Oreochromis niloticus: one gene and its partners. The main gene of each other region encodes a partner of the protein of the gene in region 3 in a complex. Links are inferred from orthologs where the notes say so. Each region holds a gene or a part of one and is shown on either strand. Other genes may lie near its edges. The genes, in order: hdac3, gps2 and coro2aa.

Region 1 (11,078 bases), on a different chromosome or scaffold from region 3:
CATGGCTACACCTGGCAGCATGCACCCTTTCTAAGCCTCTCTCACTGTGTACATGCACTTACATATAAAAGATATATTTTACTATAAGCATTCATACAGTGCCTCAGCCAAAGAGTAACTAAAATGTATGTAATCAATTCTTCTTCATCTATATTTTACGCTATTATTATGTGCAAACTAAAAGGTTTTAAATATCACAGAGGGCAGTATGGTGATCAGATAAGAGGTGGGGTCGATGGATGGATCGACAAAAGATTATTCTGTCAGGTTAAAAAACAATGTTGTTTTTTTCTAGTTTCAAACTAAGTAAAATTCATTTTAACCATCATGACAAGCTCCCGATGCTAGGGGGAAAAATGTGTATTTCCCAGCTGGTTAGCAAGTGGTTTCCTGAGGTTGTTGAATGTTGAAATGGGTCAGAAAGAGAATGCTGCACTAAAATCCTCCTGTGATATCTTTGGTTACTAGCAGACTGTTGTGTTTGATATTTTCAGTTTCACAACTACAACTACAGTCAACTGCAGCAATGCACTAGTGACCAAAACAATTGCACAGAGGCTTTTGGTGCAGTATCATACAACTCTTTGCAATCAGTTTCAAAGTCCTAACCAGTCAGGGTGTATTCATTCTCCATTAGTGATCACTGGTTGCCAGGTAGTTGCTGGCCCGTATGACTGAGGCCTAAATACGAAACTTAAGCAACAGCGTCATTCTTCAAATTTAACCTCAAAGTTTCTTTCTGGATTATGAAGAATCAAAAGCAAACGTGTGCGCATGTAGTGCATTAAATTTGTCCAGGCAATATGCACAGCATTAGAGCATGTAACAGGAAGGTGCTGACAGCTGAGAATTACACAGCGCTTCTTCCATTCCAGCTTTTCAGTTCTGCTGGCAACCTTGAAATATGCTAAGTTTAAAATACCTCCCCTGACATCCTTTGTGTACTAGAGGAAAACCAAAGGAAGAAAAAAACATTATGTACAAACTGAAAGAAAAATTGTGGAAGAGAGATTTTCCTCCTGATTCGAAAAAGCATCTGGGATTTATTCATATTGACCTCAATATAATCCTTTCATTGTTGGATGAAATACAAGCCAACTTTTTATTGTTAGCTCGCTTGCTATTTTTTTCTGGCCTCAACTTTGACACAGATATACTTTGATATTTCCAATTACATATTATCAGTGTCAGTTTTTGTGGATTTCTGTCTCTTTGCAGTTAAACCTTGATGTTTGCACACACATGTAGGCACTTTGAAACTACTTATATATGTCATATATGTACTTATATATGTCACTGATAACACTTCTGTATGTTGTCTATATTGTCTTGGCGATAACACACAGGGATGAGTTGGAGAAGGCACTTGTCCTGTGTGTGTATGTGTGTAAATCAGAGAGTGTGTGTTTGTGTGCGTCTTAACAAACCGGCAGAGACAGATGCTTGACAGAACAGATTTGGACCCTGGGGCCAAAACAAGCCAGCTAAGGAGGAAGCCCACACACAAGCACATGTGTGCGCGCGCGCGCACACACACACACACACACACACACACACACACTTCATAGGTATACAAATGAAAATCTTGACAAGCCTCTAACTCTGACAAGTGTGACGCAGTTATTAAAGTTTAAAACATCCAAGGTGGAATATTTTACAGGCTGCAGGATCAACAGTGTGTTATAATTGAGTGTAATTTATATATCCAGCAAACAGAAAGGAGAAATGTCACCAGTTGGTAACCAGTGTTGGTCAAGTTACTTGAAAAAAGTAATCAGTTACTAATTACTGATTACTTCCCCCAAAAAGTAATCCCGTTACTTTACTGATTACTTATTTTCAAAAGTAATCAATTACTTAGTTACTTAGTTACTTTTTAAAAACACGATTTACAACCTGAATAGGTGATAAAGCGATAGATCTTTCAGCCCAATTCTACTTTTTCTGCATAATTCATCATACAAAATGTAATCAAATGGAAAAGTCTCTTTTTAAAACTTGTTTTATTAGTTTTAATCTTTTAACTTTATGCATCAAGCAAAAATTAAATTATATGCAACATTCTCTGACTGGAAGAAATTTGTTTAACATTTAAACCTATTTTCTGCACATTCCAGCACATAAAATAAAATATTTTTTTGTGTTTACACTCACTCTTTCAAATAGATGCAAGTAAAACACAGCAGAAAATAAATAAAATCAAAGACTAGCGGTCCTGTTGCTCTATTTTCACCTGTAAAGCAGGACTGGGGTAGGCGGAGGTTTACCCTGGTGCAGGTGTGCCGCAGCGGTCAGTGGAAGAATCCGCGAGTTTCTCTGTGAATTTCACATTACAGTCGTAGTACACTCGCTGCTTGCTTGGAAGATTAGGGGTTTTTTTCGCTGTAAAAAGAAGTTTTCTTCCCACGCACAACGGACACTAATGTTTTTGTCACTTTTTATGGAATCAAACTCAAAATAAGGTCAGTACTTCCACGCTTTAAACGCTGCATGCTACACTCTGTCCCGCACTCGATATATTATGATCTGCAGACAGCTGTTGTCACGAACGTCGCACTCGCTTACGTCACTGTCATGAGACGTTCTCGCAAAAAATCACGGTTTTAGTAACGCGGTAACGCAGCGTTCCTACGTGAAAGTAACGGTAATCTAATTACCGTTTTTGCAATAGTAATCCCTTACATTACTCGTTACTTGAAAAAAGTAATCGGATTACATTAACGCGTTACAAGTAACGCGTTACTGCCCATCTCTGTTGGTAACTTTAGTAAAATGTATTTTAATTCAATTCCCCGCGTGCCTCTTCCACCACACACTCAGGCCTCTACACAATCTCATTTCCTTCAGTGATTTTGGCCTGTCTGCGATTGTGAGTCACATTTGTATATTTATTTCTTAAGGCAAACCTCCCGTCCAGTTCCTGTACTGAACCCTGTACCCTAACCCCCTCATCATATCAGACAGCCCTGTGTCGACTGTGGAGATCTTCAAGTTCCTGGGTACCACCATCTCCCAGGACCTGAAGTGGGAGACCAACATCAACTCCATCCTCAAAAAGACCCAGCAGAGGATGTACTTCCTGAGACAACTGGGGAAGTACAGGTTTCCACAGAAGCTGCTGATCCAGTTCTACACTGCGGTCATTGAGTCTGTCCTGTGCTCCTCCATCACAGTCTGGTATGGAGCAGCCACTAAACAGGACAGGAGCAGACTGCAGCGGACTGTACGGGCAGCAGAAAAGATCATCGGCACCCCCCTGCCCTCCATCCAGGACCTGCACCTCTCAAGAACCAGGAAACGCGCAGGGAAAATCATCACAGACCCCTCACACCCTGGACACAGACTCTTTGACCTGCTGCCTTCTAGCAGACGGTACAGAAGCCTGCAGACCAGTTTCTTTCCCCTCGCCATCTCCATGCTAAACAGATGAACTGTCACATTGCTTCACACTGCCAGACTGCAGCTGCACTTTATGTACATTCTGTGGTATTCATTTTTCTAATCCTGTGTTTTTTTATGTGAGTATTTAGATTGTTTTTATACTGTGGTTTATGCATAGCGTTCACTGTGCCACTCATAAATTGTCTGTTTTACATTGTTGTGCCGGAACCAAATTCCTTGTATGTGTTTGCACATATACTTGGCCAATAAATGTGATTCTGATTTTGTGGAGTTTGGTCTGTGAGGAATTGTCAGAGAGATGGGGATCGACTTCAGAAGGACGAGGAAGGTTGCGTGACCAGTGTCTATCCTGGGACAGGATATTGATGTGGTGTTGGAGTACGAGTACCTGGGTGTCCACATCGGCTGAACTGGGAGACCAACACAGAGGCCACAGAAAGGAGATGAGCAGGCTCCTGTTGCAGAACGATGCAGATTTTCTATTAATCATTAGTCGGTTGTGGGAAGTGCGGTCTGATGGGAGAGCCTGTGACAGCAACAGACGGAACAAACTGATTAAAGCTGGCTCTGTGATTGGCTGTGAACTGAACAAAAGGTTGTCCATCATGAATAGTTGTGATGACTGTGCACCTAGTAGTAGTATTATTAGTATTAGTGTTACTATGTATCTTGATATTGGCTTCAGTCCTTTATATACATTAAATTATTATTGCAAATAAAAAGTTAAATTTATTTGTTTTCAAAATAGTTTTATTAATGATCTCGATGTTAGTTGAGCTCTGCTAAGGAGAGCTTGTTTACTGTAAATGTGATCTTTTAGGAAACATTTGTGTCCCCCACAAGACATGAAACCCCAGTGAGAACTGTTTGTGTGCAATATTATTTTGGGGGAAATAAAAGGAGCTTTAAATAGTGCCTAAAGGTAAATTCTTACAATTCTTAATGATACAGACAGACAGACATATAAATTTTACACCTGTGCTAACCTGTGTTGAACTCTCTGTAACTTGCAACTTCAGCAATGAATAATACATAAACGATTCAATTCCAGAGCAGCACTGCCTTTTAGCTCCAGGCAGAAAAACACGGAGCAGGGAGGGAGACGGAGAGAGGGTGAGAGGAAGCAAACAAGCAGCAGATAGAAAAATCAAACATACCTCCAGAAATTCCAACGCAAAACGACTGACAAGCCAACACACATACTGCAGAGTGAAGGCTTTAGTCGTGCCAGCCTCTCCAGCACAACCCTTAAAATTCATGGATGAACAGCTGTGTCCTTTCCCTCCTGTACAGCAGCCCAACATAGTGTGTTACTACAGACTTCACCACAATACTGCACACTAAACCATTTACCTGCACTAAACTGTATCAACCCCGCTGGTATTTTCATACAACCTTTCGTGCAGCAACACATGCATAGATCATTTAAAATGATTGAATTATTTGTTGAGCAGTTCTTGCCTTTTAATAATATCTCCTGTCTTCCCCTCCTGCCCTCCCTTTTTCACACCTTTCTCCAAAAATCCTTAGGGACCAAATTGTTTTTAGAACAGGCTGTAATGATTTTGAATGCTGTAAAGATGCCTTTTTTTTTATAGTGACTGACTTGGTTTTGGAGCTGGGTTTTTAGGCTTCCAGTGCCAGAAGTTGTTGCTTGGTCCTTACCAGTGTTTGTGGTGTGGTGTGGCTGGGGCCTAGCCCCTTACCCCTAACCCTAACCATGAAAAATGAATGCCTAACCCTAAACCCAACCATAACCCAATTGTAACCCTGACACTAAAACCACATTTTTAGTCTCAAAAATGCCTTCAAACTCGTTCGGACCAGAATTTTGATCCCCATAAGGCAGGGGTGGGGAACCCTAGCCCCAGGGGCCGGTGTCCTGCAGGCTTTAGATCTCACTCTGGCTCAACACACCTGAATCACAAAGATGTTAATACCCGTCCACACACACACAGATTTTTATTTTTTACGGCGGAAAAGAAGGGAGGAAACACGTGGACAAGAAAAGAAGAATACAGACACGGAAATGAAATCAAAGACACTAAACTTTCAAAGCTTCACAGTCTGACCGCATGTTTACTGATTTTCACTGATGCTGGATACAGTGGATACACAGTAACATGTTTCCTTTGTTTTCCACCTCTGTTACCGTCCTTTCACTGCCACGTGTGTACAGTCTGCCTTTAAAAGTAGGGGGAAAAAAGCATTTTATGATGCAGAGAAGCTCCAGCAAGTTCCGCTTCATCATTTTTAAATGAGCAGGTGTTCAAGAATGAAACCGGTGCCACTGTTAGCGCTTTGGTGCTGTTTTGAATTCATCCTCATGTAATTTGTCAGTAAGCTTGCAGAGACATGCTGTCCTGGATGAATAATAGATGCTGTCAAAATCACCTGAATAGCAAAATAATCCTCTAAAAATAGCTCAAAGGTAACTACATTTAAACCTGACACTGCCAACTGATAGCACGCGACAGATTTTAACCAGAAAAGTATTCTAATAGTGTCAGATCAGATTTATCGAACTGTTGTGGCTATTGAGGAGCAAAGAAAATAATAATTGTATATGACATACATAAAAAAGAGGGTTAAAACTTGGTTTGGTTAGGATAACTTTTCTTATCTTTTTCTCAGGTTTGTATAACATTGGGTATACATAGGATTTATACAGGTAAACAGAAAGGAAAACACATCCTTAGCAGGTCTTAGCAGGCAGCAAAGACGTGATATGAGCTATATGCTCAAAACACTTCATAACAATGGAGGTGAGTGCTACTGGGTGTAGCCATTGAAGCAGCTCAGATTAGGCTTCTTTGGGACAGGTGTGATGGTGGTCCTCTTAAAGAACTACAGGTTGAAGATTTCTGTGAACATATCTGCCAGTTCGTGAACACATGCTTTGAGAACACGACCTGGGATGTTATCCGGTCCCGGAGCTTTCTGTGTGTAGTAGTTACACACATCTGCCTGAGGGATCTAAAACAATGTTTTTAACTGCAGAATAATGTACTTCAATTTGTTTTTAAATGCCCTTTTAGCCAACTGCTAAAACTTTTTACACTTACTGATGATCAGTTAATCAAGTGTGTACCTGGCTGCTACTTACTCTCTCAATCACAGTGGAAACAGTATGGGTGCATTGGCTTTTCACACACTGCTTCTGTATTTTCTACTTTTTTAAAATAATAACAACACAGTGTATATCATATGCCGTCTTATGCTTTCAGTCTGAGATTTTATTTTCCTAATTTTAAGACATAACCAAGGGATTTGTATTATGCACTGATATGTAAAAAAAAATATAAGTTTTAATTATGTGTGGATGAGTTTATTAAAGTAAACTGTATATTGTATATACTGTATAACTTAAGCACGTTGCTCAAGGTTTCTTTCCATTCTTTTTCAATTGTACTTCTTTAACTTCATGTAATGAAAAATACAGAAAGCTACTGTAGCTTTCTCTCAATCTGTCGCGGCTGTTTTGGTTTTTTTCTTTCCAGCTCCGTGGCCCCTCCCCTCTCCGTCGCTGCTGTCTCCGTGTGATGACGCAGACGCCTCGGTGTTTACTATGGCGGCTATCTGCTAATTGAAAGAAAAATGCGGGTTTTGTAGCTGCAAAGACGACAACAGTTTTTCGTAGAAAGTCGGGAGACATTGCTTTCAGAATGACCAATAGAACATCTTACTTTTACGACCCAGACGTGGGCAATTTCCACTACGGTAAGTTTTATTATCACAGTGAACCGGCCTACTCAGGGAGCTGATGCTAAGGAAAGCTAGCTACATGCTAATGTGTACGAGACTGCGTTTTATTTTTATTTTCTCAGTTCTTTTCTTTCTTTCTTTTTAACATTTAGTTTTGCGTCACTGCTACACTTTAATATTTAATTTGATTTGTTTATATATTACAGCTGGGCTTTGCTTGCGCCTTTGACCTTAAGATGTAACGTTATTGACGCGTATTGTAGCCCTGTGTTCAGTATCTGCCTGTTAAAGCTTTTATTCGGATGTCTAGGTGCTTCATACGGTGTCTTAAATGGATAACGTGGCGGTTGCGTGACAGTAACAATAAATAAATAAAGTAATATGACTGTCTACGCTTATGCTGCTTTTACGGTGAAGTGATACGCTGTACAAATTCAAACTTTAGTGCTGCAATACGCATGCTCACAGGATACACTTACTGTGCCTGTTTTTTTTTTTTGTTGTTGTTTTTTTGTTTTTTTTTGCAAATTACCTCAAGTATTTATCTTTTGTAACAGCGCATGGATGGCTCTGTTTCAGTGTGCCAAATCTCTTTCGTCATAAATTGTACCAATTTCAACCGTGTTTCTCTTTTAGGTGATTAGCCATAATGTATACACTTAGTTCTTTTTTTTTTTTTAGGCATTTTGACCTGATTAATGTCTGTGAAATGCAGATATAAGCCCTGTAATGCATGAACTGTGTGTTTCTGTTAGGTGCTGGCCACCCGATGAAGCCTCACCGGTTGTCTCTCACTCACAGTCTGGTGTTGCACTATGGACTTTACAAGAAAATGATGGTGAGCGAGCAGTAGTGACAGATACTGTCACGTGTTCACACCTGTTGATGCTTTTCACACTGAAATAACATTTTATAAATCTTGTGTTTGTTTGGTTGGTTTTTTTTGTTAGAAACAACAAGATCATGCTGCAGTCTATCAAATGTTCTTTTTCCCACTAGGTGTTCAAGCCATACAAAGCATCTCAGCATGACATGTGTCGCTTCCACTCTGAAGACTACATTGACTTCCTACAGAAGGTCAGCCCCAATAACATGCAGGGCTTCACAAAGAGTCTCAACGCGTTTAATGTGGGAGATGACTGGTGAGCGTTATCTCGTTCTCATTAAATACGTTTTTATCGAGAAAAAGAATCTGAATGATTTAATGAAGTTTTCACAAGACCTGTGAAAAACTAAGTACACCTTTACTGCTTCCATAGGAATTAAGAACTAAGGACTGTATTTTTCAAGCAGCTATCTTGCTCTTCTTATTGTAAATGTTTCAGTATAAAAGCCTCTCTGATCATCACTGCTGACAAACCCATAACCTAAATATTTCATGTCTGTGTGTTTTAGTCCTGTGTTTCCAGGACTGTTTGAGTTCTGCTCAAGATACACGGGAGCATCCTTACAGGGGGCTACACAGCTCAACCACAAGGTAACACACACACGTAAACCCAGCTGATGGTTTTGGTGCTACAGAGAAAAAAAAGCAAAAACAACACAAGACCGAGGTAGCCTAGGGTGGCATCTGTTGGTTTCATTTTGAATTACAACTTAACGTGTTGACAGAGACACTCATTTATGTGATATCCTTGGGAAGCAGGTTGAGTCATTCATTGTTCTATGTGACCAAGGCTCTCTAGCTGAAGTAAGAAAGAAGAAAGGCCTCTCTTCATGTTTGCAGGAGGGAAAGTATCTCTCTCTCTCTTTCTCCCAGCAGCAGTAGACCTGCTGTTCAGTCTTTCTGTTTGTAAAGGGCAGCTAATCAGAAAAAAGTGAACCTAAAGGGAGGATAGGGGAAGCACTGCCTCTAAACATATTGCGTTCAGGAGTTTTGTGAGAATGTTTTAGTTTGTGTTTAAAAACTAAAATTGTTGCTCATCAAAGACGTTTCTGATTGGTTGTTTTGTTTTCCATCCTTTAAAACCGTCATAGTCTTCTGCATCGTGGTCAGTTAAAGTTGTGAGCTCTAATTGATGCTGACTCTGCTTTATTTTACAGATCTGTGACATTGCTATAAACTGGGCCGGAGGTTTGCATCATGCCAAAAAATTTGAGGTTAGAACAAAGACACATATATTGATGTGTGTCTTCTCTGTTCAGCTCATTTGAGTTAAATGTCTCTTTTGGTTCTTGTGTTGGTGTAGGCCTCTGGGTTTTGCTATGTCAATGACATCGTCATCAGTATACTGGAGCTCCTCAAGTAAGACGGCGCTCCTGAGTAACTCTCCTCGAATCTTTACCGTGTCTGTTGGTGACATAACTCTCCTGCTCTGTGCGTGTTCAAGGTACCACCCCAGGGTTCTTTACATTGACATAGACATTCACCATGGCGATGGCGTCCAGGAAGCCTTTTACCTCACAGACCGAGTCATGACCGTGTCCTTTCACAAATACGGGAACTACTTTTTCCCAGGGACAGGTAAATGCAGCTTTAATTATCTAACAAATGTTTGCTGTCCACATAGTGGTGTTTATATCGTTTGTTATTATTATTTTACTTGCGTGCAGCCCCAGAAGGCCAATTTAAAGGCATAGAAATACTGATGTAGTCCTCTGTCAGCTGTATCAGCAGATAAATGATAAGTGTATTCCAGGCGGGTTTCCATCTGTAGCAGACACTCACAGTAATTTCCTCTAGAGTCATAAAACTGTGAGATATCACTGATGTATACAAATAGGACCATTTATGTATATAAAACAAGCTTCTTGTGTCCATTACGCCGTCTCCTGCTGTCTTTGAGAGAATATAATCTTTGTTAGGATTGAGCTTGGACTTGGCCGTGTCCTCAGGCTGTGTCTGACCCTGTTGTTACGAGCCATTCGGTCCCCATTAAGTTTGTCTTGGACTCTGCCTGTGCTGCCCTTTGTCACTGATTGAGCTGTTTAGCAGTGCTATTTATTTTCTTTTTAAATACGACTCTAAAGTAGTGTTTGTTTTTCTGACCGTGGAATCACTGATTGGAATTAAAAGTCCAGCAAAAACAGAACTTCATCATCAGTTCTTCGCTCTGCTTCCTGTAGGTGACATGTACGAGGTCGGGGCAGAGAGCGGCCGGTACTACTGCCTCAATGTTCCTCTCAGAGACGGCATCGATGACCAGAGTGAGTGCAACAACATCCTCACTGACACATGAGATCACACTTTCTTATTGCTCTGCTGCACTGTTGTGACCATCACACAAGCTTCAACCAACTTGTTTGCATGCTTTGCTTTGTTTTCAGGCTACAGGCAGCTGTTCCAGCCCGTTATTAAACAGGTGGTGGATTATTACCAGCCGACCTGCATCGTCCTGCAGGTCAGTCAGTAGCGCCTATCGTTTGCTTCTGTATGATTTAATCTGTTTCTGTGTGTGTGCGATTACCTCACCTGGTGTGTGTCTGTCTGCAGTGTGGAGCGGACTCGCTGGGCTGCGACAGGCTGGGCTGCTTCAACCTCAGTATCCGAGGACACGGGTGAGACATAAACACAGTTTTTTCCAGCTGAACTCAAATGTTTTGAAACAGCCAGCACACAAGCACTGATAGTTGCAACATAATCTGTGTGTGTGTGTGTGTGTGTGTGTGTGTGTGTGTGTGTGTGTGTGTGTGTGTGTGTGTGTGTGTGTGTGTGTGTGTGTGTGTGGCTTTCAGTGAGTGTGTGGAGTTTGTGAAGAGCTTTAGGATCCCTCTGCTGGTTCTGGGAGGAGGAGGATACACAGTGAGGAACGTGGCTCGCTGTTGGTCAGTCTGATGCATAATTTCCATAAAAACAGCTTTAAGATGATGATGATGATCTGATGATGATAATAATCTGTGCTGTGCTGTGTTGTAGGACCTATGAGACGTCTCTGTTGTTGGATGAATCCATCAGTGATGAGCTGCCTTACAGCGGTGAGCTATGTTTCATGTTTCAGTGAGATTTTAATATCTTTGTTGGATTGTTTTGT
Region 2 (10,988 bases), on a different chromosome or scaffold from region 3:
GCTTTGGTGGTTCACGGTATCCAGGGCTGGGTGCTCGAGTATGTACTGGCTCACTCCCAGTGGCTGCTTTTGCTTGTTTTCTTTTTTTTCTTCCAGCAGGTAATCCAGCTGATTTTTTTAGTGTCTTTTTTTTCACTGTCCCTCTTCCTCTCTCCTTTTCTTGAACTTCTCTTGTCTAGTTCTTTCCCTTTCCTATCCTCCAGCCATCTCTCTTCCGTTTGTAATAACTTAAAAGTTAAAAATAAATTAAAAAATAAAATAATATAATTAATAATAATAAAGATCAATCAAATGGACCACGGCAAAGCCATAATGATCCACTTGGAAAAATAAATCCGTTAGGCATTTTTCTTGGCCTTCAGACAATCATTCTAATTGCTACAGTGCCGAGTGGGAGAGGCAAAAAAAAAAAAAAGAATATCATGTTTAATGTAGATCAGTCAGTGTTTGTCATCAGCTGAGTATACACTTTAATTCTTAAAGTTCCTGCTGTGAAAGAGCCATGAGACTGAAATCTAGAACACAAAGGGGGAAAAAATACAACCAAAAAAATGTATAACCAATAAAGAAAACAAGAGACAATATTAAAATTATCAGCCAACGTTCTGGTCTGAAGCAGGAGAGGGTTGTTTCACTTTAACAGAAATATGTGTTGTAATTTTTAGATATATGCAATCTGTCTCATCACTGTGCACAAAAGGAAGATCATGAGGTTTTGAACCAAAAGGATGTCACATGGATGTGACTCACAGACCTGTGGGTCATATGCGCAATAGGCAGGTGAGTAACTTTTCCTGAGTGTTTCAGGATGTATGAGTGGCAGCTTTGGAGGCACAGTTTGTTTACCAAATGTGTTCATGTCAAAACTTAAAAATTAAACTCTTTTTTAATATATAAACTTATGAATAAAATAACCCAGTAAATTCCCATAGTTACACATAAAGTTATCCTAAAAACAGCATTTAGCAACAATTTGCATAAATGATAAAACTCCTGATTATTTGCTGCTTTCGTCTGTTATGGTGTAATGAGTCGTAAACCCCGAGTAATTAGAGGAAACTTAGTAGGCACTGTGTTCACCATTAAATACGCAGTAACTTATGCTTACATAAAATAATCCAACATGCTGCAGAAATGTGATAAACGTGTTTGGTTCAGGGTTTATCACCGTGCATCAGCGAAACCCGTAGCACAATGAAATGTCGCATGTTTTTCAGTTTCTCCCCCCCAACCACAGACTGCTGGGCCTCGGTCATATGACAAGGACAGATCCCTCCTCAGTGCCCTGCCCAGCGTCTTTATGCGCAGCGGCTGATAAAACATAAAATAGTTCCACGTAAAAGAAAAGAAAAAGAAAGAAAGGCAACGTTGATTCGTAAGCCCTTCGTATACTGTTTATTTCAAGATTGTTATTATTTTTTTCTTGAATACGCGTCGATTATCATCACACAGTCGACGTTAACAGGGTTTAAAACAAGGTGAGGTACGCCCCTGCGAACTACCCTTTCCTCTACGTCATCTTGTTATTGTATCCCTCCGCTGCAGTCGCACTAGGAAAACAGCTGTGGCGAGGCTAAGGCTAGTTAGCATCGTTTGTGTTTGTGTGTCCGCGATTCGAGTCACTTCTTAAGCAACCCGTACCACCGCGGAGTGACCGACTTGTTGTCTGTCATCTCTTTTAAAGATGAAGTTTCAGTACAAAGAAGAGCATCCCTTTGAGAAGAGGCGGTCCGAAGGCGAGAAAATAAGAAAGAAGTATCCGGACAGGGTGCCAGTAAGTAGCTAACGTTAGCTCCTTGACAGCTAGCTATGTTGCCTTGCTGTTATACTGCTGTCAGGCTAATGTCGTTATGCTCACTGTTTTATTTTTATTACTAATGTAAGCTTAATATCTAAATGTGATATTGTAGTGAGATTTTACCCACACAATGTATTGCTTAGTTTGTTTACTGCCACGTTGTAACCGCCACACATGGTAGCTAACAACGGCAGAGGTTAAGTAGGAATTTCGGCCGCTTTGAGCAGGCCAGCAGGTGATCTCCGTGTTATTCTTCCGTGAATCATCATTGGTGGCCAGATAATGGTGGTTATGACTGTAACGGTGGTTACGGTGAAGACATGCAGGTGTGCACAGACTCTTTTAGTGGTCTGTAGCTGGATGTTGAAACGCAGTAGAGCGCCTTAAAATAGATGCTGTCAACAAAACGGGGTTGTTTACGTCGCCCAGCTTCTTGGAGATAAATCATAAAGGCTTTCCCCAGTTAGTCTGGCCTATCGAGACCCTTTGTGTCACAACTATCAGCTGATTTAATGTGGGGATTTTGGGTTTTTCCTGTAAAGTGTGACGAAATTCACTTGCCTTTCAATCGTGATCACTTTTAAGCTTTCGTTTTACAGTCCTTCAGTCGTCGTTTACCATAAACTTGTTCTGTGGCTACAACAAACAATTAACTATCGTAGTCAATTACCCACTGCTTATTTTCTCTATTAATTGAATACCTATTTGGTTACTAAATGGTGAAAACAGTCCATAACAACTTCCCAAAGACCCAGATGACATTCACAGATGTCGTGTTTTGTCTGATCATTTGAATTCAAACTCTCATTCACCATCATAAAATGGTACTGACAAAAAAATGTCACATCAGGTGCTGATTCATTTAAAAAAAGAGGGGGCAAAAACGCTGATTAATTGTGGAGTCAGTGTTTACCGTGTGGGCAAGTGATATTTTACCAGTCCTATTTTTAGACTGGAGAGAGACTTAAAGAGGTTTAGTAAGGAAGGCGTTCAAAAATTAAACGGCACGTCTGATAGCCGGGGTGTAAATATACCAGGTTCTTTCCAACACTGAAATACTTTTTCGAAATATAATCTGTGTTATATTAAACACTTCGTCTGGGTTCGATATGCTCGGCCTCGCTTGACTGACAGTTTGGTACACTCTCAGATCCCTTTTCCGAGACAATGAAGCGAACACCATATTTCACCCTCTACACTTGCAGCCTTTCTAATAAAAACATGTTGTACACCTGTTGTGTTTTTTTTTTTTTTTTTTTTCTTTCTTTTCTTTTTTTTCTTTTGTTTTTCTAACCTTTTAGGTAATTGTGGAGAAAGCACCCAAAGCCAGAATAGGAGATCTGGACAAGAAGAAGTACCTTGTCCCCTCTGACCTGACGGGTAAACATTGCCTTGGAGCATAAAAAGTTGTTTACTTCTATTTTAGAGTGGCAATGTCACATCTGAAATTTCTACTATTACATATTGTCTCTTTCATCAGTGGGACAGTTTTACTTCCTCATCCGGAAAAGAATCCACTTGCGAGCTGAGGATGCGCTCTTCTTCTTTGTAAACAACGTCATTCCACCCACCTCAGCTACCATGGGATTGTTGTACCAGGCAAGAGTCCTGTTAAGCTTCCTGCTCACTCACATGCTCTCACATTATGGCTTAACCAGCATGTTGCCTTTGGTTGTTCCTCTTTAGCCTCTCCCTACATTATTGATATTGCGCTAACATGTTTTTTCTTTTTTCCCCTTCCATCAGGAGCATCATGAAGAGGACTTTTTCCTCTACATTGCCTACAGTGATGAGAGTGTGTATGGGGACAGCCAAAGGGAAATCTGATCCCACTTCAACCACTACCCACCTTTCTGAGACCTCCACATCCATTCATTCATTTAAATATTAAATCCAGCTCAGCAGCCTACAGTTCCCAGAGTGAATATGTCAAATGCACTTTCACCACCCATACATTACCCCTCTTGCATCCAATTCTGTCTTTATTACTCTGCAGTCTGAATTGTATTTGTCTCCCACTTTTCTTTTCAACAGTAACTAAGTGGTCTCATGGCCAGTTCAATTTCTAGTGTCAAACCGATTGTACTTTACTTAAAAACAATGAGAGAGATTAATGAAATAATACTAGAAATAGGCCTTTTTTTTTTTTCTTTTTTTTTCCATTTGTGTTAGTTTGAGCTTAGGCTGAGAAATGAAAGGGAAAGAGAACTCTTTCACTAGGAAAAAACAAACTAAAGTGGCAAAATTTATTTAAAGCATGTTAAGGAGAATTTAGCTTGCTGCCCTGCATTGGACCTTAGCAAGGAGTATAATAGAATTCAGACTAAATTATCATCCTCTGCTTTAAGTGGTAAGACTATTATGTTGACTGCTAATGATTATTGTTGTTATTGTTGTTAATTTTTAGATGGCTTACTTTCTAAGGGTTGTGTAAAGCTGAGTGCAATTTTTTTTCTTCTCTTTTTTTTAAGGGTTTGTTTTTTTTTGTAAGAAAAAAAAAATTACAATTTGAACTCTGTATACAGCTGCGTTACTGGCTCTTTCTCTCTATTCATGACCATACATAATAAAATGTGATGAAATACTATCTGCTGTTTGTCTTTTTTGTCCCTTTGCTACAGAGTAACAAATAATTACACTTTTATTTTTTTAGCCACGTGAGTTGTGCCTTTCAATGTAATGAAACGTTACATTGGTTAATTTGACACTGTGCGCTTCAAGGGAGTTACAAAAGTTACAAAAACATGAACCTGTGATTTAGTTTGTTTTTTTTTTCTGGTTGCGTGGGTTGTTTTATCATATCAGCTTCTGTTGCTGCACTGATAATCTGACTCGCAAAGTCATGCATGTCCACGTGTATGTTTATAATTTTTGTTATATGCAAGGAAGCCATTTGACTCCAACATCTATTCTTTCCTCCACCTGCTTTCTTTAAGGCGTTACAAAAGTAGACTGGTAGGACAGGGACATACAAAAAAAAAAACGGGAAGGAAGCTCTGATGTGGCTCAGTTGGTAGAGCAGGTTTTCTACTAATCAGAGAGTTGGTAGTTTGATCCCTGGCTTCTCTAGCCTACAAGTCAAAGTATGTTTAGCCAAGATACTAAAACCCAATTTGACCTCAGTACATTCATGAAAAGAAAAGTGTTTGGGTGAATGAGACTTGCAGTTAGAAAGTGCTTTGAGTGCTCTAATAGTTGAACAGTTCTGTGTAAGTAGCAAATAACAAAGAAGGTAGTATGTAATGTAAGTATAAAAGAAAAAAAGACAAGTGGAACATGTAATTTACTGTTGTAATTAATGAGGAAATTACTCATGTTTTGCCAATGAAATCAAAGTGGTTAGCCCACATTCGGCACAAGGAAGCTTTGGTGTTTCCTAAGTCATTCCCTTGATAGGAAATCAAATATTTGAACTGTAAAACTGTCAAATCAAGCATCAAGGAAAGAAAACACGACATACACAAAACTGCTTGGAAGTTTCATTTTGCTGACGTCAACGTGAGATTCGCCGCATTGCACTTCAAAACTACAACTCCCAAAGTGCACTTCGAAGCGTGACCGCGTTCTTTGAACCGGAAATGCAACAGCATCCCCGGTCTGGAAATCGCTCCGTCTGTTTATGTTTTGTGGGAGAAGTTTTGATTTTTATCTGTTTTAACCGCTCGAGGTCTATCAAGCTGAAAACCGCCAGACGGTTAGATTCTTATTAAAAGACTCACAACGAAATAAAAGTAAGCTTTTTACAGTTTTATCAGCACAGAATTCAAAGCAGATCATGTAGGATAAAATGCGTAACGCAGTTAAGTGCTCTGCAGCTAGCCTCGCTAGCTAACGTTTGTTCCCGGTTAAGTTAAAATATATAATTTTTGTCAGGGGTTTACACTTGTAAGCTACATCACTTGTAATATTAAATTACTATGCCTTCCGTTGGTGCATTATACTCTAAATATTGTCATGTATTGGGAAGTACAGCTATCTGTGCTAACTTAGGCCGATATCGGCTAGCTAGCGAGGCCTGTGGTTGTTACACCTGTTTGGGTGAGCGTAGATGCACACTTTGATGTAGTTTAATGAACTTTAAATATTTCATCTGACCTTGTCGATTCATTACTGACATTTTGACCCACACCAGCTGGCCCCTCCACTGCCTGTCACAATGCCCGCCCTGCTTGAGAGACCCAAGCTGTCCAACGCGATGGCCAGAGCTCTCCACAAACACATAATGAGGGAAAGAGAGCGCAAGAGACAAGGTGCTCTCTCATTTTGTGTGTGTGTGTGTGTGTGTGTATGCGCTTTAAAAAGTAGTTTAGCCCTAGTGTGTCACAGGGTGTCACATCTGACACCTTTAAGGATTCTTGTAGAAATAAGCAAGCACTGTTAAGATGCTGAGCTGTGTTTGGAAAGGTAATACTCCAGAGCAGCGGTCCCCAACCTTTTTTGCGCCACGGACCGGTTTATGCCCGACAATATTTTCACGGACCGGCAATGAGGTGTCGCGGATGAATACAACAAAATAAAACTAGTGCCGGTACCGAAAAAAAGAAGATTTATTCATAACACACGTGAAAAGACCCAGGAAAACCGAGTTAACGATAAAAACAATAACAAAATAACGCTGAAAACCGATAAAAACCCTGAAAACCATACATTTCACACCTGAACCTCAACTCTCGCGGCCCGGTACCGAACGACTCACGGACCGGTACCGGTCCGAGGCCCGGGGGTTGGGGACCGCTGCTCCAGAGTATAAATTGTTTTTAGCATTTAGCCAATAAAACAAATTAATTAACTTTTCTTGTTCTTTCTTTGTAATTCTGGAAAATTTCACTAAGGTCTGCGTCATCTAGATTAAAGTCCTATGTTTATGCGTGTATTCTTCAAATAATCTATAATAATAATGTATACTTTATTGATCCCCGTGGGGAAATTCCTCTCTGCATTTATCCATCCATGATTGTGATTTACTATGTAATAATACACTCACCTGCTAGTTTGTTAGGTACAAATACATAATCATCCAGTGCATTTACCATATCGACATGGTCAAGACGACCCACTAAAGTTCAAATTGAGCATCAGAATGAGGAAAAAATGTGATTTAAATGACTTTGCTCGAACTATATTACAACCAAGGTGTCACTGAATGCACAACACGTCAAACCATGAAGCAGATGGGTTAAAGCAGCACAGGGCACCGCTCCTATCAGCTAAGAACAGGAAACTGAAGCTACAGTTTGCACAGGCTCACCAAAATTTTGCAATAGAAGATTGACAAAAAACAAAACAAAACATTTGCCGGTCTGATGAGTGTCAGTTTCCACTGCAATATTCAGATGGTAGGCTCACTTTTAGGTGTAAACGGCATAAGAGTATGATTCCATCCTGCTTTGTATCAATGGTGCAATGATATGGTGATTTTTCTCTTGGAACACGGTGGACCTCTTAGGACAAATTAAGAGTCGTCAGCCCTAGTATTGTTGATGAACATGTGCGTCTGCTTCCAGCAGGATAGCACACCATGTCTCAAAACTCAAATCAAATTGAAACTGGTTTCTTGAACATGACAGTGAGTTCACTGTAGTTAAACTACATCCACAGTCACCAGATCTGAATTTAATAGAGCACCTTGGGATGCGGTGGAACAAGAGATTCACATCATGAATGTGCAGCAGCTGTGTGATGTGCCATGTCAACATGGATCATTTCTGAGGAATGTTTACAGCACATCGTTGAATATGTCCAGTGAAGAATTAAGACAGTTTTAAAGGAATAAAGGGGTTCAACCCTATAGTAGCAAAATGTACCTAAAAAAGTGGCTGGTGAGTGTATATGTTATAGCTGTCTGCCTGCAACCTGTTCTTTGGTCATAGATCTAAAAGGCAATCAAAAAAAAGTAGCTACATTATACTCACCTTAATAAATGTACTTTTTTTCAGAGGAGGAAGAGGTGGACAAAATGATGGAGCAGAAGATGAAGGAAGAGGAAGAGAGGAAGAGGACAAAAGAGATAGAGGAGAGGATGTCCTTGGAGGAAACAAAAGAACAGGTTTGAAATGTGACATTTCAGCTAGTCTGTGCTCCCAGCTCTATACAAAACAAAGTCTGTGTGTTCTTACACCATGATTTCCTCAAATAAACATCAGGTGATGAAGATGGGGGAAAAACTTCAGGGACTACAAGAAGAGAAACATCAGCTCTTTTTACAGCTCAAGAAAGTTCTCCACGAAGAGGAGAAAAGACGAAGAAAAGAGCAGAGGTTTCTATATGTACTTCACTTAGTTTGTTGTTTTGTCAGAGGATTGTTAATTGTCGGTTAATCTTTTTGGTCTCCTTCTTTAGTGATATTACAACTTTGACATCAGCGAGCTACCAGCAGAGTCTGCCCATGCACCCAGGACAGCACCTCCTCGGCATTCAAGGCGAGAAAAGTTCCAGGTTCTGCGCCTTGCCAGAGTCGTCATTATTTTTCATATAGTGACATTCTCCTTTTCTCTCCTTCAGGCAATCCAGTCAGCCACAGCAGACCTGCCCCACTGCTCGGAGAAAGGAGCAAACAGCTGTTCCCAGCTGCTGTCCTCCCTGTGAGTAAAAGGAGTGTTCCACTTAAAGAATTCATAAAATATAATACGATCTATATAATATGCTTCTTACAGTGTTTACATGTGCACGTTGTCCTCTTTTAGGCACGCCATTATCAGACGCCTGGCTTCAGCTCAGGCTCCGCAGAGCATGGCCAGTTCAGCGGAGGTCAGGGGGTCCATGAGCCCTACGGAGTGGCTCAGGCTCAGCATCCTTCCAGCTACGCCCCCGGACCCTCAGTGCCAGTCAGTTTCGCAAGCAGCTCTCAGATCAGAGGTAAGATGAGATAAGATTTCTTTGCTGTCAATGTGTACAGTGGTACAGTAAAATTTTGAGTAATGTGTCACAGTGACATGACTTACATCCAGTCATATACACGATAAAAAAAAACTGTATAAGACAGGAAGAAACAGGAAACGAGGGAGTGAAATAAGATGCACATTAGGTGAAGGTGTAAAACAGCAGAGCACAGTACCACGCTGTTTGTGCGTCACAGTTCACAAACACAAATGTGTTATACACTAGTTGTAATTGTGTAAGAGGTCATTTTGTCCTTTAATGTTCAAACAATGTTCTCTAGTGGCACAGTGAACTCACAAAGAAATGAATTATCAGCATCATGTGTGGGATTCCTCCATCTTTACTTGGATTTCAGGAGCTGACATAGAATACAATCTGAGCCGGTTGCAGGCTGCTGTGTCAGGCTGGGCTTGTTGAAGTATAGTTGGGCAGTCCAGAGGGAGGGTATAGCCATTATTCAAAGGTTAAGGAAGGCATTCTAGTAGTTTTAAGGCTATATCCTTATCAGAGTCTTGACAGTAATAAGCATGATACACATAAATATAGCTAAAGTTAAACTAATACATGTAATTGAGTCCATATATGGTTCAGAGAACATTATGTGTGTGAGTGTGTGACCTCTGGTAAGCAGTAGATCATGTATGTGTGTGTCTGTGTGTAGTCTGAGTCATCAAGCTTCATTCTGGGCCTGCTTCAGAGCCCTGTGGGTGTTTGAATTTGAAGAGAAAGGAAAGACTGTCCAACCAATCAGAAGTTAGAAACAGTGCTGGTATTTTAATATGTGTTCATTGGCATAAAGAGAAATGCTTTTGTTGAGCAAGATGCATGTTTGAGTAGGCTGAGCCCATCTCAGCCCACAGGTACCACCAGTCTTAGTTGATTTTGATTGACATAGACGTGTACATCGTGTTTATACAAATCAACTATGAAATCATTTCTCGCACAGTTTGAAACTCTCCGCTCAAACAGTCTAAGCTCTAAACTGACAGTCCAGCCGACAGCTTTCGTTTGTTCAAAGCAGCCTGATTTCAGCCGAAAAATAAAATCCCCCACTGAGTGCGAAGTCATTTTTCTTTAAGCTTGCATTTTTCAAATGTGGATGCACCGTGGAGTCAGCGGTATGCTATTCAGATGCTCCCGTGTGGCGTCAGTAATGTCGGAAACCCGCTGATTGATCATTAAAACAATCAGATCACAGTGAGATGTATTGATTGTAATGACTTTGCCTTTTTCCCCACAGGCGCATCTGCATTTCAAGCAATGCAGTACCTCCCTCACCAGCAGGCTGGTTACCCTGTTCACTTCACCTCCCAGCAAGGTGGGTTTCACTGCTGTAAATTATACCTATGTCTAATTCCACGATCTACATAAAATTCAGAGTTGTAAAGTAACCTGACCATCTTCTGCAGGATACATCCCTGGAGCAGGAATACCCCTGCAGAAGCAGCTGGAACATGCTAACCAACAGTCGGGCTTTACTGACGCAGTAAGACCATTTCAGCTTTAGATGCTGCGATGCAGAAACAGCAGATGTTGCTGGAATATTAGATTATTTCCTGCTGTTTCTATTCATATTAGACCAAACACAAAAATAAACTCTGTGACATGTGATCGTCTAAATAACAGAAGTTGTTCCATTAGCTGATCAGTTTTCCTTCTGTCATGTCAGAGTGGTTTGAGGCCCATGCACCCCCCAGCCATGCATCCTTCCGCCCCAGGTCTGCTGCCCACATCGTCGATGGCGGTCCAGATCCCTACTGCAAAGGTGAACCCCCAAAACACACACACCATTTGTTTTTCATCCTGTGTTATGGGGCCAAGTAACTTGTATATTACTTGTTTTTCTTCTAAACATATTCAGTATAAGTAAAGTCTGAGCTGCTACAGTGTTTATGTTCATTAATGTTCTGCTTCTTGTCTTTCTTCTGATCATGGTTCCTCTTTCCTTCCCCAGGCTCCGTTCCAGAGCTCTCCCCAGAGCGCTCCCCGTCATAGCTTCCTGCCCCACAGCCAAAGCGGGCAGAGGTTTTACCACCACGGCAAGTAGATGATCAAACTCACCGGTGCTCAGATTTCAGAAGTTCACTCAAGATTCTGGCGATCCTGTTGGCGCTTAAATAGCTTTCTTTTTTTTTTTTAAGTAGGCTGGATTATGCCACATGATCTGTTTTATTCTTTGTATAGTTTGGTTTTTTTTTTAGCTTTGTTTTAATGTTGTTAATAAGCTACTAAGCAGCTCTTCAACATATGTGCTCTGAGCTTCAGACTCATATTTTACTTCAATTAATGTTGTTATTTTACCTGCACTGTG
Region 3 (11,087 bases):
GAGGATTTGAAAGAGCTGGAGGGAAAAAAAAAAGAAGTTGGATTAAGTACAAAATTTCAAACTGTCCCTTGGTTTTTTGTTTTTTTTTTTGTCGTTGTTTTTTTGTTTGTTTTTATCCCAGTGTAGTGTGTATGTAGTCTGATCTGAACTTGCCCCAGATTAGTCAGTCTGATCCAAATAAATGAACAGTGAGTTGGTTCTGATTAGCGAGAGTTCAAAATAAAAACGACCACACTACAGCCTCAATCACACATGCCGAGACAGCAGTAACTAAAATGTGTATTCACCGACTGGTTGGCTAGTGGTTTCCAGCTGTCACCAAGTGAAAATGGCTGCATAGAGGGTGCTGCAGTCTTGCGAGCAGGTTGCAGTTGCCCATAATTTGCATGCAAGTAATTCATGAGTGTCTGCAGGTTACACAGAAACTACGGGCGACCACCGCAATCTGTGGTGCAGCACTGGTTAACTTTATGCACCTGTTGTTGTTCCCCCCCCCCAATCAACTGTGAGCAACCTGCAGCAACCGCTCACCAACTGGTTGGAGACTACAAGTTGTCTCCAGTGACCTGTGTCTGCTGGGTGGTTTCAAAGCCTGTGTGATTGTGGCCTATAGGGTTGAAATGGACTCTTTTTAGTCATTCATCTTATTTTTTTTATTGCAAAACAAACAAAAAAAACCCAGCAAGATTTTAGTGTCTAGTCTTGCACTAAGTATCATTAAAGCTCGTTAGCTGTCGTGGTAGCTTTAGCAGTGAGTAATTATTTAATAGTTACAGAGGAATAGATGCAAACACCTAAGTGCGGACCACTCAGTTCTGTTTCGTCTGTCTGCTTTAGTTAGACTGTGACCCTTTCCTTGCAGGTGGAAGATGAAGATGACCTTGACACCAGGGACCAGACAGACGACGATGACGAGGAGGATGAAGATGAGGACTAGAGAAAAACAATGAAAGGAGAAAAAGGAGAGAAAAGACTCTGCAGAAACGCACCTGAGAAACTGAGTAGGACTAAAATATGGAAGCAGTTTCTCGTCCGGGCTGCCATGCTGTGTTCTTCTTTACCCCGACACGTGTACGTGTTAGTTTTTGGACATTTTTAGTTCAAGATGACGATGTTCTTTCCAAAAACTCAATTTTCAGCGACAGCTGAGAGATTTAAACATGTCAGTGTATTCATCTCTGCTGCATTCACCATCAGTTTGTGATGGATTTTATTAGTTTTGTTGTTTTTTTTTTTTTCTAATGTACTGTCACATAGTTCCTAATCACAGAAAAACCCTTAAGTTAATTTTAACACATCTGGAGAATTTGCAGAAGCAGATTTAAAATGTGTCACCATGCATTCTCATTTTTCCCCATCCTGCACTGCTGCCCTCACCAGTACAAGCACCTGCAGCATTGGCGTCACCTGCACTTCGCCCCCCCGATCAGTTCGAGTTCAGCGTCACAGTTGTTCCATTTCACTGACTGCTCTGCAATATGCTGCAAAACACTGATGGAAAAGATGTAAAGAGACAAAAAAGACATATTTTTGCAACTTTTTGTCCAGTACTGGCATCCAGCTTCTGTATGATATTGTGTAACTTATCACTTTAAGAGGAACATTGAAATGAATAAAGAATCTATCTGTATGGCGGAATAATTGTAGATAAATTAAATTTTACTAAATCCATAATGAGACCTGGCTGTTAGGATTTTTTTTAATTTTTTTTTTTTTTTTAATTCAAGTGTTTAAAAAAATGTTCACGCTGAATGTTTTCATACCAAATTAATAACACTAAATGATTAGTGTCTGTCACTAAAACCTGAAAAGGAGGCATGGTGGGACATCGTACATTTACTGAGAATAAACTGTTGTACCCTAAAGCGTCTTCTGCTAAACACTTTTCCTTTCCTTGGTGAAAAACTTGTGGATCGAGAAAAATGTGAAGGAGAGTTCAGAAGGATTTCTGAGATGGAAATAGCTTAACAATGGGATGATGTGCTGAAACTACAGGTGGACTACAAAATATGCATCTTGGATGCTTCAAACATGTTCTCCTGATTCATGAAAGAAGGAACCACCATGTTGAATAAAAATAAATACAAATATAATATTTTGAAATGAAATGCTTTCTGAGTTTAGTTGTTTAGTTTAACTCCTGCCTGGCTTTGTGTGACTGGAGTAAAACTGATAATGAAAGCTTGGTAAAACTGCAAACTATATTATAATAAAGCACGCTATTAATAAACATAGTCGTCAAAAAAAGTATCCACAGTACTTTATCCAGTGCTGTGACTGAGTACACCCCATGACTCAGTTGCAATGTATGAATTACTGCATGTACTGTTAGTGAATGAGGGAGTCGCTTCTTGTTTAATGCCATACATACAAAGCACCAGTCTCTTAATGATACATAATGCTTTGTCATAACTGCATTTAATTAGGGTTGAGGAAAATCAGCAGCTTCATCAGAAAATGTTTTGGATTTCCAGTTACCTTGGAAACGTTAATAAACGAGCTTCAGTTTAATGGCACACTCCTGTTGACATAAATCCACCATGACGCATGTTTATGATGACGTTTGTGGGAGAAGTTGACACTTGATGGTATTAAACCATGGTTGAAAACAGAATGGGACCTTAGCTACAGGCCCATGTTTTCACAGAGCCGTGCTCAGTTAACATACTATCAGCCAACAACCTTGGCTGATAGTGACGCACACCTGTTTTCACACCTTTGAAAGCTGAGTTCAGTTTCACTAACTACTCTCGGGCCTGATTACTGTCAGTTTTGCTGAATCAAGAAATCACTTAGATTAGCATTCCCCCCCCCTCAATACGTTAAATCATAGTTTAGGAAGGAAGGAGGCAAATGCTTTTTCACAGCAATGCACAAGGATTATTAAAATGTTAAAAGTCCTGCCTCTACAACAGTTGCTTGAAATATTAGAAATTGGTGCCAGCGGATTATTTCCAATATGTATCTAATATTCTTTCGCCCAGTACCTCAGAGAAGTAGAGTCACATGTCAGGGTTGATTTTCCTGAAACAAAGGACAACAAATTATAAAACAGGAAATTTAAAACTTTTAACCAACAAGAAGCACATGCTGGTTAAAAGTAAGCCAATAAGGCAGATGAAGCCATGACTGAGGTGCCATGGTGAAAGCAGCATGAATTACTCATGACTTTTATTCATTACTAGCTGACTGTTAATGAAATTTACCAAAATTAATTTTATTCTGTTTATTTAATATTTTACTCACCGATTATCTTTTTCTGTATAATATAATAATTAAAATTTTTTTTTTACGTGTTAAGGTTATGATTGATAAGGCTTTTGTAATAGCGCTGTTTCACCGCTGGGGGGCAATAAAAACCCTGAAATGAAAATGTGTGGCAGACCTGTCACACAACATGGCATCCATCCCTTTTTTCTTTCTGTTTCTTTAAATTTTCCATATAAGCAATTAAAAATGATCTGGCTTTCAATTTTTTCACCATTAGTCTTTAAAAATTGTTTAGCTTTTACATTAACTTACATTAATCAACATCTGTGCAGTGTAACCGTTAGTAAGCAGAGTTTATATAATGTCCACATACACACACACACTAAACATAAAGCATATAGGATCTATGCAAACACAGTGATATGGATCATGCTTCACTGAGAGTAAAACAACACATCGCCACATTTGCTGACCACATTTCAGCAGCTGCTCTCGCTTCCAGACCCTGGGGCAAAACTGATGTGTGAGTTTTTATTGACAGCTCCTCTGTGTGATCCCTGCTGCCTGCCAGCTGTAACACAGAACACTGTACACGACACGCTCAGCACGGTTTGCCTACACAGAAACCAGGCGCTCTGCTTCAGGTGTGCATGTCAATGAGCTTTACACACACACACACACACCCACACACCACATCAGCAAAATGATCTATGTAAAATTACAAAACATGTGACAGAAAACACACAAACCACACGCACACACATACAAATAAAGGATCTATGCAAATACAGCGATACTCAGCGGGAGCCAAACACGAGAGTAAACAAGGTGCTAAAGCATATTGTTTTGATTTGGCTCTCAAATATACTGAACTGAGCTTCATTCATATGATAACCTGGCTGCTGAAAGGTGACACTGATGGTGATGGACTCTTAAAATAAATGTGCATCATCGATATGTTTTTCTACTTTTTTTGATGAATGAAACTGTAAACTGCAGTTAGGGATGGACACACAGGGTGCTGTTTAGCTGCTATGCATAATAATAATAAAAAGAAAATGCAACCAAGAGCAGACAGATTATAAATCAGGGATGTCAAACTTATTTTGATCTTATGTGTGCTGGACCGGTTAAAAATGCAATTAAAAATAAAATAAAATAAATGTATATTAAAATTAATATAAGACAAAGAAGAGCAATTTCAACAGTACGCCTCAGTTTTCCTACGTGATAAAGGAATGCTGTAGTAAGGTGTAAAACCTGTGAAACTACAGTAAAAGATAAAAATGTATGTCCTCCACATTTTCCAAAGCCGTGCAGTGGGCCGGATTAGAGTTTCCGAGGGGCCGACTCTGTCCCCCGGGCCCTATGTTTGACACCCCTGCTATAATTAAGATTTATTTGATTTTACAGTGGGTGAATAAAGAGCAGGTTAATGTAAACGAAACAGGGCTAATGCTTCCTCTGCTCTTGTGTGATTGATCGTGAAACTGTCATGTTGTGTGTGAAACTGTTAAAATGTTATTTTAACATCGCTTGTTTGGCCTTCAGGCTACTCGGTGTTCATGATAATATTTTTATATCTTTGCACTGATCGACCTGGATTTCCTCGCCCCTCCCTGCCTCCTCCCTCCTCTTCCTCCTCTCTCGTCGCGTCCTGTGCTCGCATCTCTCCTCATCCACCCTCCTCCTCCTCTTTTCTTTTTTTTCATGGTGGCTGCAGTTTGAAGGGCAGAGAAAATGTTTTGGCTGTGAGATTTTATTTATGTTATTATTATTATTGTTGTTGTTATTGTCTTCTTTTTTAAAAAAAATTCCGGGGGACTCTCAAGGTTGAGGCGGGCGTCATGACTTTTAAGTGACCACTCTGCCACAGCAATCGGTGATGTAACACGACTGGTTCCTGCTCCCCGGCTAGTCCCCTCCACCACCAGCAAAGCCAGCACATCCAGCAGGAGCAGCTCCACCGCTCGAGCCTTCTTCCCTCGGGGGAAACACTACCACCTGACGCCACATCTCGCCCCTTATGACCGTCTCAAAGGTGAGTTCCCTTCTGCTCCAACTTCTCGCTTTGTGTTGCTTACTTGCCATCACGCACTCGCTGCGTGTGCGGGTGGGACACTTTGGGGGGGGTCTGAGCTGCAGCCGGAGTTGGAGCTGTGCCATGCGGCTCCACAGCCTGCTCCCAGGTTGGATTTTAGCGGACGACTTTGCGGCAGCCACGAGGTTTGTTTGCACGCATTTCATCCCCCCCTACCCCACACCCCACACCCCACACTACCCCACACCTCCACACTACCCCACACCTCCAACCTCTTGCTTGGTATTTGACAATGTGACGCAGAAGTGGGCAGCGGTTTCTGTTACAGCTGATCGGGTCTCCCCCCCCCCCAGGCACACACAGTATAGCACGACTCCATAGCTCTCTGCTGTTTCTATGTTTGCATGGGTGGAAACAGAAAAACCTGCACTGTCAACTTCACCATATTTAAACGGAGTGAGTACAGTAGTTGATCGAATTGATTATACGTTAAGTGGACACTTTATTAGGTACACCTTGCTAGTCCTGGGTTGGATCTTTTGCCTTCTAAACGGCACAGGTGCTGGAAACATCTCTGAGAGATTTTGGTCCGTATTGACAGGATGGCACATCTATTAGATGTGCTCTGTTAGACTGAGGTTTGGACTGTGGGGGTCATTTGATTACAGTGAAGTCACCTGTGTTCAAGAGACCAGTCTGAGATGATTTGAACTTTGTGACATGGTGTGTTAACTAAAGCAGCCATTGGAACATGTCATCATAAAGGGATGGACATGGTCACAATGCTCAGATAAGCATTTTTCTGTGGCAAAGATGCTCAGTTGGATCTAAGGATGCAAAAGTGTGCTGAGAAAACATCCTTCACACCATTACATCACCAACATGAACCGTCTATACGAGGCAGGATGGATCCCCGCTTTCATGTTGTTTGCACCAAAATCTGACCCAACCATTTCAGCGAGACTCGTCAGATCTGTTGTCCAATTCTGGCGAGCGTGTATGAACTGTAGCCTCAATGTGGTCTTCTGCTTCATGGTCTGACATGCTGTGCTTTCAGAGATGCTCTTCTGCATACTTCAGCTGTAAAGCGTCACCGTTGCCTTTCTCTATGCTTGAGACAGTCTGAAGATGGTGTATGAAAATCCCAGTATAGATCACCAGTTTGTGGAATAATCAGAGCAGCCCGTCTGCCACATTCACAGTCACTCAAATCCCCTTTCTTCCTCGTTCTGATGCTCAGTTTAAACTTCAGCAGGTCGTCTTGAGCACATCCAAGTGTGATTGGCTGATTCGATACTGGGGTTAATGAAAGCAGTTTAATGAATAAAATTGAAAGTAATTGAAAATAGAATTAAATCCATAATTAAGTTTGCTTAAAAAGTATTTAGATTTTCCACATCTAATTATCTTTAGTATTGGAAATTTAGAAGATTTTAGCTGTGAAATCCACATTTGACTTTTTTTTATTCCAGCTATCAGTCCAGAGCACACACATGCTTAGCTGTCATGTATGATGGAGAAAAGCACACCGTCCTGAACATTATCTCTTTTTAATCAAGATAGCTGTCAAGTCAAGGCAACAGCTAAAAATGAGCACTTTCACCAAACAAGTACTGAAAAAAAAGACTGATATTAAAATAAAATTCTGCTTCTTTTTCTTTTATATGAAACAAAATTCAGTATTTAGGTTGTTGGACAAAGCAGCCTTTTTTAAAAAAATATTATTGTTTCTGGTTGTTTTAAAATATTAGCTCAATAGCTCAACAGAAAACAGTTTTAAATAATTGTTTAAAATTGTTAACTGAAGCTTTAGTTTACTTTTCATCTTTGAATAAAAGGAAAAAAGTAATCCCTACAGATAGCTGATTAGTTATCTGGTTAATTTTCAAACAACCGTGTGAACACGTTAGCGTTTTAAATAATACTTTTGTTTTGGAAAAACACTTTAAAGGTGTTTCATTATTCAGGACCTGCGAGTCGCACATTTGTATTTTTTCTTGTGAGCAAACACAAAATCCAAACAGTTGTACACTGATAAAGCTGTAATCAAAATGCTGCAGGTCCCATCAGCGAGTATATTGTGAATAGATTTGGTGTGGCCGTTCAGTGTAAACACCTCCCTGCTTCTAAGTGAAGCCTGTTATTTCTGCTCTGTGGGTGGCTGTACTCTTTCAGGCCACCAGTTCACCAGATTGTTTGGATCCATTGTGTGTTTTTTTTTTTTTTTTAAATTCACTTCTGTCTGGATGGGCGTAAATAAACTTAAGACAAAGAAAAATAACAGTTTGAGAGCTGTGTTTAATGAACCGAGTCTAATGCTCACCACATGTGGAGCTGTGGGACAAATTTAGGACTTTAGTGCCAGTTGGCTCTTCAAGTGTGGCAGTGCACATCAGTTTCACAGAAGGCCGGTCCAGAGCGTGCGCCGTGATTGGACCAAACGAATATTTGTATTATTTCCAGGGGATTTTCAGATGTGTGACTGAATTGTTTTATCAAATTCTTCCTTCTATTTTATTTTTCCATAAGTTGTGGTTAGTTGGTTCAGTGAAAGTCCCATTTAACTGCATTTATTTTCGCAGTTTGATATTGATATTCTCAATTTTCCTGTAGCGTTAGATAAAAACAGAGCTTTGTATCCAAGGTGAATATTTGGGGGAGATGAGACTGCAGATTTTTGTAAGCCTTATCCAGTCTGTTTGGGAGTCACTCTGAGTCACAGCGCAGTGTTTGGAGACAGGTTGCCTCCCACCAGGTGACCTGTTCAATTCCTGGCCCACATATTGAGGGCGTTGGCTCTGGGGAACCAGTTGGTCGTCGCAGCTAATCAGAAAGTGTTGCTGGAAATGGAAAAAATCCATTTAATCAGTGGGCAACCATTTTTTTTCCCTTCCTTTCTTCCCAAGTCAAAACGAGGGATTTTTACTCTACTATTTTTATTCTACTGTGACAGAGCCGTACAGTGTTTTGGTTTTGTGCTCATGTAATGTTTTTAATCTTTTTCAACATTTTTATCACTAACAGCTTCAAAATTAGCTCAAAGAACAGTTTACATTTATTAATGAGCCTCATCAATAATAAACCCAACTTAGGCCAGCCCAGCTTACTGCTTCCAGCTATTGGTAGGAGTCTTTCCTGTGAGATTCATGCAGCTTTACAGGGTTAGCTACATGAGTATCCATTTGACAGGTGAGCAGTTATAAAGTCACAGCTGAATCATGCATTACACAGCAGCTTTCTTCAGGTTGAGTCATGAGTGGTGCCATCAGGGTTTTTTTTTTTTTTTTTTTTTTTGGTGATCATTTTTATTAAAGCCCCTTTTGCAGCTTTTCGGGACCTGACTTTGAAATCTGCTTCTTCTTCTTTTTAAAAGAATTGCGGATTAATAGGTTACAGCTATATTTGTGACCTCTCAAATCAATAAAACAACAATCAAAATATATCAACGGGTATCCTAGCAACCTTGAAAACAGACTTTAAGGTTGCTGATATGGCTAGATAAAACATCGTCACCCATGGACAGACTTTTCACTGTTCAACAGGTTAGGAAATCATAAATGAACTAATAAAAAAGTTTGGTCATCAACCCCGGCGGCAAAGTTGGGTTTGTGATCATTAAATTTATCAAGCCGAAACTGTCAGCCCCACCTGTTAGCTGGAAAGTGGCAGCCCTGACTGTTAGGTGGAAACGATTAGCTCCCCCATGACTCTGACATATTTTCATATTTTCCCTCTGCACTGATTAAACTTAATAGGATCCAAGTTCAAGGCTCCTGTCAGGGCTGACCACAGACACCAGCCTGACCTTTCCGCCCATCTTTATGCTAAGCGAAGTGGCTCCTAAACACTTTCCAAGCATTTAACACTCAAAAAGAAGCTCCAAAAATGTCGAGCTGCTCTGTTTAAAGATGTAAAATAATAGTGTTTAGTTTAAGAATTGACCTCATTTTTTAAATACTTCCTAATGATACACTAACAGTTCGCTGCTCTCCCCCCTTTGGGAATTTTATCAGAGCGCCTGAGATAAACAGCGAGGTCAGTTACCGCTCTTCAGCTTGGCGGGGGCTTGATGCAGATTTCTGCGTGCCCCTGACAAAAAAAGTCTGTAGCTAATGAACAGCGAACATGTTTTGGGGTTGCGCAGAGTTTAAGACTAAAGCGTGTCAGTTTGAGGCACGACTTTTGGTGCCATGCTGTGTGGAGAGGTGTCATGCCAGCTCTCGAGTTGTCTAATTAGGCCTGTCATCCACCTAATGGCCAACCCGCTGCCAAAAACAGCATTAGACTAATGAGTTTGCCACACGTCTGCGCTTGTGTGAAACAAAAATCTCCCGACCACAAATGAACCCTCCCTGCTGTAGCCGGCTTTGAACTCGGGTGAAAAATCTTGACAGTCTCATTTTTAACGAGGTGTTTGTGGGATCTGTAGGCACCACAGGCTCTTCTGTTTAAATCCACTGTAGAGAGAGTAAAAAATCTGCTGCGCAGTTTCATGTTAGGGCCATAAAACGCTAACCTGGCATGTCATCACACAGACTGTTAAACGCATACCTGAGATTCCCTCGCTTTGTCCAGCCTGTGACGTGTGCTGTTTGCTATGTAGATCCTCATTTCCTCAGAATCTCTGAAGCAGAGCCTCTTTTGATTTTTTTGTTTTGTTTTTTCCCTGCTGTGGAAATACTTGGCTGTTTATCTTGTAGTATATCTTCCTGTCACTCACATCTGCAGCAGTGATGAGGCACTTGCTGCTGCTGCTGCTGCTTTTAGGGGTCAGTCTGTCCTTCTGTAACACCTGCAATGAACTGAAGGTGTGCTTTTCAGCAAACATGCCCTTGAATCAACCCGATGACCTGAGCGCTAGAAAATCTGTGCAGGATATATGCGGCTGTTAAGCTGCTGTTGTGCAATAAAGTGATGACAAACCTGTTGTTATGGGCCATTTAGTCCCCTGTATGACTGCAGCCAGAGCTTGGTTTGCATTTCCAGCAGTAACCTGTTCCCTGTGGGAGGCGGAGTTTCTAAGGTGCAGCCAAGCAGCAGCGGCTTTCCAGATTGGTGGCGTCAGGATCACTTCTCTGTTCCTGCTTCATTGATAAGTAACCCTCAGGTCTTTGGAGATGCGGTAAGGAGCTCAGTCATTTGGGAGGGGCTCAGATTAGAGCTAAAAGGTACCAATTGAGGTGGTTCAGGTGTCCAATAAGGATGCCTCCAGGATACGTCTTAGGTGAGGTGTTTCCAGCATGTCCTCAGGGGGGAGGCAAAGCATGTACCTCTCAGCTGGCTTGGGAAGACCTCAGTATCACGCTGGAAAAGCTGGAAGAGGTGGAGAGGGGGGCCTGGGCGCCCTAGCAACCCAGACAAGCAGCAGAAGCTGGATAGATGGATGAACAAACCTAGCAGCCAGTATAAGCCCTTTAAAAAAAAAAAAAAAAAAAAAAAATTGTACATAAAAATATTGTTACAATGTTGTGTTGTAACAGAGCTGAAAGAACAAACAGATTAATTAATCAGAAACGTGTTGCGAAAATCACATAATAAATTTTTAGCAGTGTTAAATTCACTGGTGGCTAATTTTCATCAATGACCTAACTTGCTTGCACAGCTAGCTAGCAAGATATCTCTGCAACTATAATATTGTTGTTGTTTTTAAAAAAGCTTAAAATTGTACCAATTGAGGGTAAAATGTTTTGCTTATGTAACATGTTTATTCCTGATCTAAATTTGGGCATTTGGAGTCCACTGGGACTCAGCTTTTTGGAGCCAGCCTCCAGGGGCCCAGGGAGCAGCTGCAGTTCTTCAGTGGCTGGACGTTGCTCTTTGGGGATTCGGTGATTTT

What was found.
Region 1: coro2aa (region 3) and hdac3 share a complex: the UniProt entries of both Homo sapiens proteins name them as parts of the N-Cor repressor complex. The link is inferred for Oreochromis niloticus from reciprocal best matches to the Homo sapiens genes CORO2A and HDAC3.
Region 2: coro2aa (region 3) and gps2 share a complex: the UniProt entries of both Homo sapiens proteins name them as parts of the N-Cor repressor complex. The link is inferred for Oreochromis niloticus from reciprocal best matches to the Homo sapiens genes CORO2A and GPS2.

The regions. Positions count from the first base shown.
Region 1 is NC_031966.2:33,366,257-33,377,334, forward strand, and holds the start of hdac3 (histone deacetylase 3), read left to right. Parts: upstream 1-6,911; 5' UTR 6,912-7,067; coding exon 7,068-7,122; intron 7,123-7,862; coding exon 7,863-7,945; intron 7,946-8,106; coding exon 8,107-8,249; intron 8,250-8,502; coding exon 8,503-8,584; intron 8,585-9,150; coding exon 9,151-9,207; intron 9,208-9,296; coding exon 9,297-9,352; intron 9,353-9,437; coding exon 9,438-9,571; intron 9,572-10,173; coding exon 10,174-10,254; intron 10,255-10,374; coding exon 10,375-10,448; intron 10,449-10,540; coding exon 10,541-10,605; intron 10,606-10,782; coding exon 10,783-10,872; intron 10,873-10,963; coding exon 10,964-11,022; intron 11,023-11,078. UniProt on the Homo sapiens protein: Histone deacetylase that catalyzes the deacetylation of lysine residues on the N-terminal part of the core histones (H2A, H2B, H3 and H4), and some other non-histone substrates.
Region 2 is NC_031967.2:15,821,300-15,832,287, forward strand, and holds the start of gps2 (G protein pathway suppressor 2), read left to right. Parts: upstream 1-5,341; 5' UTR 5,342-5,529; intron 5,530-5,930; 5' UTR 5,931-5,954; coding exon 5,955-6,048; intron 6,049-7,734; coding exon 7,735-7,844; intron 7,845-7,941; coding exon 7,942-8,054; intron 8,055-8,137; coding exon 8,138-8,217; intron 8,218-8,299; coding exon 8,300-8,379; intron 8,380-8,481; coding exon 8,482-8,653; intron 8,654-9,917; coding exon 9,918-9,995; intron 9,996-10,086; coding exon 10,087-10,163; intron 10,164-10,346; coding exon 10,347-10,442; intron 10,443-10,631; coding exon 10,632-10,724; 3' UTR 10,725-10,988. Other genes in the region: gabarapa (gamma-aminobutyric acid receptor-associated protein), read left to right, coding at 1,685-1,774, 3,100-3,178, 3,279-3,397, 3,545-3,625. UniProt on the Homo sapiens protein: Key regulator of inflammation, lipid metabolism and mitochondrion homeostasis that acts by inhibiting the activity of the ubiquitin-conjugating enzyme UBE2N/Ubc13, thereby inhibiting 'Lys-63'-linked ubiquitination.
Region 3 is NC_031971.2:17,334,874-17,345,960, forward strand, and holds the start of coro2aa (coronin-2A), read left to right. Parts: upstream 1-5,620; 5' UTR 5,621-5,647; coding exon 5,648-5,707; intron 5,708-11,087. Other genes in the region: uso1 (general vesicular transport factor p115), read left to right, coding at 863-937.